Linked DNA regions of Oryzias latipes. The protein of the gene in region 1 purifies or fractionates together with the protein of each later gene. This does not show direct contact. Links are inferred from orthologs where the notes say so. Each region holds a gene or a part of one and is shown on either strand. Other genes may lie near its edges.

The links. Proteins that work in one complex are often made in the same cells at the same time.
Region 2: the proteins of mapk4 (region 1) and fastkd5 purify together in Homo sapiens (affinity purification with mass spectrometry; 3 studies listed by BioGRID and IntAct, with this or other methods). This does not show direct contact. The link is inferred for Oryzias latipes from reciprocal best matches to the Homo sapiens genes MAPK4 and FASTKD5.

The regions. Positions count from the first base shown.
Region 1 is NC_019867.2:9,597,204-9,600,076, forward strand, and holds part of mapk4 (mitogen-activated protein kinase 4), read right to left. Parts: intron 2,503-2,873; coding exon 2,420-2,502; intron 2,278-2,419; coding exon 2,199-2,277; intron 1,984-2,198; coding exon 1,767-1,983; intron 1,385-1,766; coding exon 1,219-1,384; intron 828-1,218; coding exon 1-827. UniProt on the Homo sapiens protein: Atypical MAPK protein. Phosphorylates microtubule-associated protein 2 (MAP2) and MAPKAPK5.
Region 2 is NC_019879.2:23,598,155-23,602,344, reverse strand, and holds the start of fastkd5 (FAST kinase domain-containing protein 5, mitochondrial), read right to left. Parts: upstream 2,801-4,190; 5' UTR 2,680-2,800; intron 2,119-2,679; 5' UTR 2,111-2,118; coding exon 1-2,110. UniProt on the Homo sapiens protein: Plays an important role in the processing of non-canonical mitochondrial mRNA precursors.

The sequences.
Region 1 (2,873 bases):
CCATTAGCTTTCTCCTTATTCTGCCGGCATAGTTGGAGTGCCCGAGATATAAAAGCGTCCAGGTCAAGCAGTCGCTCCTTATGCTTAACAGGCAGAGACTCCAAAGAGTCAGCTTTTACTGACGGAGCTAAAGAGGAGGTGGAGGAAGGGGGTTGAGATTCCTTATGTTGAGAGTGGAGAGTGTCGGAAGGTAAAAGTCTTTCAGTTACGTCCGGAGAGAGAAGACCTGTTGGTGATGAGGGGAAAAGGGAGGGAAGATTATTGTAAGAGGATGCTAGAGATGGAAAGAGGCTGAGTTGTTCATCTTCAGCTGATGAATGATCCACAACTTCTGTGTACTGGAAGACGGGTGTTTGGAGATCAGTGGGAGAGAGCGGGAGAGGTGGAGAAGAGGTGTAGCAGGAGCGTTGCTCTGATGAAGGACTGGGACTAGGAGAGTGAAAACGACACTGCGTGCTCTCCACCCAGCGAGAAATTTCTTGAAACAGATTCTCACTCTCCTCCTCATCCTTACTTGCTTCTTCTTCCTTCATTTTCCCCAGGTCTTCCATGCTGCCACCAATGGGCTCAGCAGGCATTGACAGGTTGCTCTTTTTGCACTTCCAGTGAGACAGATCCAGAATCAGCTTAGGCTCGGAGTAATGTTGAGGCTTTCCCTCTCGCCAGGCAATTTTATCGAGATATGAAGGGGAGCCCACTTTGTAGTCGCACGAGCGGCCGCAGTCTAACTCCCCCAAACCGACACCACAAACTCTTTCCAGCGAGGAGTGAGAGTTCTCGAGGAAGCGCTCGGCTGAGCTGCTGTGAGAGTATTTGCGTGGGTCAACCTGTATAAAAAAAGGAAACAAATTAGGAGAATAGGACTGACATTAACTTGAGGTCACGTGATTTGAACCATTTCATAGACTCTAAGTCAGAGGTTGGCAACCTTCAACACTTAAGGAGCCATTCAGGTAAAGTTCTCACTGACAACAATAGGAGCCACAGTCTTATTTCCCCTTTTTAAAAAATAAGACACTTATTTGAACATATGCGATTCTTACTATCATGGTAAATAGAAAAGATTATTTTTTAAATCAATATGAAATACAATATCAGCAAACTAATGCTCCTTTTTGTCTTTCAAAGGATTCACCCTAGCTGCTTTGTTCTTTTCATACGACTGAAACAGGATGCTTCAGTCGGTACAAATCAATAATAGCGAAATAACTTGACAACCTGAGCCTCCTCTGCCAGCGAGCTGAAACTGGCCCGTGGATCTCTGCGCACCTCTTCATTCTCTGAGTTATCTCCCAGATCAGATCGAACTTGACCAGCGGGGATGCAGCGACACCTGTCAGCTGACTGTTGCCAGCACATGCCAGTTGATAAACTGTTGTCATACCTGCAGATGGGAAAGATATTGACATTTCCTTGTAGTACATGTATAGTTATGTATATGTATGCACATATAAAGATATACATACATAGATATACATATTTATCATCGATTTATGTACAATATGTTTTATTTATAATGTAATTTACATAAATAAATACATCTTATAATGTACAGTAAATAAATTTAATGATACTTATACATTGTCTTCTTTTTCTGATGAATTCTAATCAGACCCTATACTTATGTAATAACATGTTGTATTTTTCCGAATGTAATGAAGCAATAATTATGTCAAAATAATAATTCATGGCATTGCTATCAAACACTTTGCTCTGTATAGTATTTATTTAGCAAACCAAGGGAATAAAGAGAACAGAATCTGCACCTATCCCAGTGGATGCTGGAGGTGTGACTGCTGCTGGCGCTTAGGCTCTGCTGTGAGATGAGGCTCTCCAGCTCATCCTCGATGTGAAAGGGATTGGATGAAATGGGTTCATCTTCAGGACAGGAGTACTGCTGAAGGAAAGGGTGGGACAGTGCTGCTTCAGCTGTCAGACGATCCATGGGGTTAAAGGTCAAGATGCGCTCAAGACAGTCCACAGCTGGGAGAACAAAAAGGGGAGATTCCTAAGAATAACTAAAGCTTTTACGTTGTACTCTTTGGCATATTTCAGCATCTCTCTCATCTTTTCATCAGACACAAGTCAGTGTGTCAGAGTTTCTGTATTTTATTTCTTTCAGACTCTTCCAATGCTTTTCTCTGACAGTTCACAGGTTCGCTTCCCCCTTCAAGCTCCCCATAATTCCCCAGGCTCACCCTGAGCATCCACTTCAGGCAGCAATTCTGAGACGGGAGTCTTGACTCTCCATCCATGACTGACATATGAAGGCATGACCTGTGAAAGCAGGATAAAAAAGGTTCTATAAATATATTGTGATTAAATGTCGACTCTAACCCTTTTAATTTACCGGTATTTGATATGATTTAATGTAATGTGATTTTGGAATTGTTTAGCTTTAAGTGTCCTCTGGCGTCACCTGTAATAGCTCTTGTCTGTCTTCCTCCCTCTGCACAGGCACTGTGTTGAGGATCAGCTGCATCTGTTCCAGCTCATGAGCTCCTGTCAGAGGCATTCAAGCAGATGGGGAAAAAATAAATTAAAATATGTGACCATATATAAAAAAATCCCAGTTGATAGACATAACAGTTTACATTTTCAATAAATAAAATCAGAATGTAAACTGCAACAATAGTGTTCAAAATAGAAAAAATACTTTTAGTATAACAAAATTACAGTAGCCACTTGACAGTTTTGCTTAAAGTATCACTATGATATTCATTCACTTAAAACAAGCATTTGTCTATCTTAATACACTGAATTAAATTGCTCTGAAAAAATACGTATTTTAGGCCTGCAAACCATTGAAAAATATATTATTTGACATTACTGAGCAAGTTTGCAGCTTTGCAGCAGCAAATTCCTGACGCAAC
Region 2 (4,190 bases), on another chromosome or scaffold:
TCTCACCTTCATCAGGAAGAAATCTCTGAAGAGATGGAGGCTTGATTATGGAGGACTGAGCAGAAGAATGTGCAGTGGTTTTTAAATTACATAATTGTCCGATGAGTTCATCCGTGATGGTTATTCCTGTGTTTAACTTCTCCCAGTCTTGATGAGAAGGAACCGGGGAGGCGGGATTATGTGCTGAACATGGTGGGAGGACAGGTATAGGTTGTCCTGTGGAGTCCAGGTGTACTTCCAGGTCGATGGAGCGAGTGTGAGGCAGGATCATCCGCTTACACACAAACTGCTCTCCCCCCAGCAGATCCTGTAGAGCAGTTTCAGCCTCGACTACTTCAGGTTTCTGGCACACATCTGACTGTGCAAATGTCCACAGCATTTCTGCCACCTCCTCCCTGAGTTCACGGCTCAATCGTGGGCCGGTCCACTGGGGCAGCTCCAGAGCCACAGCTCCATCTAAAGTCAGCAGGTCCTTTTTCAGCTCCAGCTGGGAGCGTTTCAATGCTAAGTGGACAAATTCGGGGCTTAAAGCTAATGCAACCAGGTCCTCTGGGAACTGAGAGATGAACACTAAGCCTAGTAGACCTGTGAGCAGGTGCTCTGGGTACCGCTGAAACTCAGCTTTCCTCTGCCTCAGGGCTTCCGTTAGGCTCGGGTAGAAACCCGGACTCTGAGTTGGGAGAAACCCCAAAGAGCCAAAGGCCCACAGTAATTTGCAGGAATCTTTACTTCTGCAATGCGGCGCCAGGGAAGGAATTCTCTCAGCCACAGCAGAGAGGATTCCATCATTACGGTAATGAAGAGCTGAACAGGTTAATGTCACATGCATCAGCCCTTGAACGCCCATCCCGTGACTCCGACGGGGAATCTCCTGCGCCATCGCATCCAGCCATGGCTTGTGAAAAAGATAACTGAAGCGCATGTACTTCAGCACGTTCACTATCCCAAAGTTGCTCATCTCACTGACAAAGGACAGAGCCCTGTCAACAATACGAGTCACTGCGCTTTCAGAAACTGAAGTTTGGGATTTGAAAAGGCCTAAGCAAACCGTGCCGACCTCCTCAGGATGCAATAGATGTAAATGATGCATAAGAAGCTGCTCTAGCGGGCGAACCAAGTCTTTTGGGCAGTGTCTCCCTTCACCTATGATATAAAGCAGGTGCACCAGTTCAGGGACATTGATCTGACCCAAATGGAGGTGGACTGAAGTATACAGGTACTCTAAGAACTGAGGCACCTGCCTTCCAATACAGCGCCACAAGTCAGCTGCAAACAACAGCTCTTGAAAAGTCATTTGCTTGGCCCGCTGGCTCAGCTCCTCCTCATAAGTCTCAAAAATCGCGTGGGAGGACGGCATCTCCACCCACACAAACAATCGCAGCACCTCCAGCAGCTCAGAGAGGGAAAAGAGGCGAAGGTGCTTCACGGAGTATCGGAGCAGCGTCAGAAAGCGCGGGTCGCTTCTCAGCAGCGCCATCTTGTCAGCGTGCAACCTGCTGAGTTCGGCCAGCAACTGGGACACATCAGACGGTTTCATTCTGCCCTTTAACAAGGACACGTTTTGAAGAACAGGCAGCACCTCGACCCATTCAACCGGATCCGGACGCTGAGTGAGGTCAAGACTCGTGGAAGCGTACTCCGGTCGAGTCTTAAGGAAAGCACGTGGATTTACTTTAACATCTGGTGTTACTGTCTTTTTGTGAATTTGCAGCACTGACGTTTTGTCCGTTTCAGGGGCCTTATTGAAAGCTAAATCAAGAAGTTTATTTGAGCTTGAAAGGTGCCGCGAGCAACTCACGCTGTATCGATTGCTCTGTTGCCTGAAAGACGGTACAACGTCAGATGGCCTTTGTTCTTCTTCATGGTCATCTGTTTGACTGTGGGAATTTGCAGAGTCCCTTGAAGGGTAGTAATAAGATGAAGGATTGTAATACAGTCTGTACGGGGATGGAGAAGGGATTTGGCGTGACAACGTTTTCTGCTCCTCCTGATGATCAGTCTCCTCTATTAGTTTGAGGTGTACGTCTTCAGCCTGGGAAAACTTTTTCCTGAACCCATGGACAGAGTTCACTCTGCAACCGTGCCGACAAAGCACTCGGGCCGCCATCATGTGGGAGACTAAAATGAAAAAGAAAGCAATTTGAAGGACAGCAATTTGAAGAAAATAGGAATGTTTCTTATATTAAATTACAAAAAGAATTTAAAAAATGTCTCTTTTGTCTGTCAGAAAAATCCAAAAGAGCGGCCAATAATAAGAAAAAACACCATGCACTTTGGTATTATTTGGCATAATTTAAAAGTACTTATTTAATAATATTTTATAAAATTGCATGCCATTTTTGACCGCTAGTCCCAATGTTCAAAAGTCTACCTTTTTGGTGTATTTAATCATGTGACCTACTTGGGATGTTTCAGAGGTTTTCAGTAAAACTTTATTGGCAGTATTATGATGTCAAATGATTGTATTTAAACAACTACTTAGCTAGCACAGCTGAAAATAAATAACAATCAAAAATAAGGACTTAAACTTAATGACAACGATTTGAGCTAGCAGAGGGTAAACCTAAGTTCGTTCATGTCTGTGAAAAAATATTACTGTGTGTCAAAGAGAAAATAGGAATGTCTAATAGGAATGTCATAACGTTCAGTTTAATGTATTATTATTATTGTTGAACTCACCTTTTACAGTCCACGGAGGACACGAGCAAGAACCTCATGGAAGTCAACGGATGCTTCACTGTTCGAAGAGGTCTGAAATTACACCGGAATTGGGCAGCAATCTTTTCAAAATAAAAGTAAAAGTGCTCTGTAAAAGATTTGTCATTCTGATTCAAGATTAAAAAGGGGTTTCTAAATCTTTATAATGTCATAAGGAATGATAAATGGTTTGTACATGACTGAATAGGCCCTCAATAAAGATCTAATAAAACTTGAAGTCGTTGCGTAGGTATTATATTATGGCAGGAAACCATTTCCGGTTACAACAGCCATCCGTCAGGAGTATTGACCTACGGGTAATAAAAAGGTCCAAATTAGAAACGCGAAGTCTTTTTTTTAATACTGTTCATAGCTCTAAAATGTATTTCCCTATAGTTTAATCGCCATTATTAAACAACGCATTGTGAAGACAATTCATTTTTTTGTTTAAGCATAATTACATCTGCATTTTCACCGTTTATTTTGTGATGTTTGAAAAAGCAAAGTAAACTGTTACACCATTGTTTGTCCTCCGTTAATTATTGAATGAATTGAGTTGTTTTCAATTCCATTTATAAATGCGTTTGAAGCGCTACAAGTTATTTCATTTTGGAACCATAAAAAAGCTAAAATGTTGTAAAGTTCGAGTCAGAGTAACCAATCGTGGTACCTGTATATGAAGAACTTTTTCATGGTGTCATGATGACTTCAGCTGTAAAACATTTGAAAAATATTTACGTTAAAGACTTTTTATTAGGTTTCTATCACTTGCAAAAACAAACAAAAAAATACAGAAAAGTTAAAAAATATATAAAATTTTAAGACAGCGTTTGGCATGTTATGCAAATATTAGATCATCTGTAGACAGGGTTTTTTTTTATTATAAATAAGTTTTGTCCCTTTTTTTAAATTAGCCTTGACTAGCAAAATCACTTGTAAAGAAAGAGACTGGTCTTTGGAATATTTTCTTTGCATTATTTTAGTTAAACAACAATAAATAAATAGGGGCCAACATATGCCTCAAGCATTTATAATGTTTTTAATTTATTATTATTTATTATTAAAATTATTATTTAATCATGATGGTTTTCTAAAGCTTGATTGACAAATAATCACATTTGATGATAATTATGCAATTTTTAAGTAGCCTAGTTTGATTTATTAATAAAATACATGTCCAATATTTGGGGGTGAAAATGGTTGTTTTTCCTTCACTTTCAAGTTGCTTAAATTGTGTGCTGGGTCCACTGAATCCGTTGATTTCAGGACTGATGGAAGACTTACTTGTTCAAAATAATGTTTTGTATTCGGACACTTTCAAATTGAAGCACATAAACAGTCAACATTTCAAAATTAAAATAAGGGAAATATGCTGATTTTTACATAAAAAATCAACTCAGTGTAAATGCAATATATATATATATATATATATATATATATATATATATATATATATATATATATATATATATATATATATATATATATATATA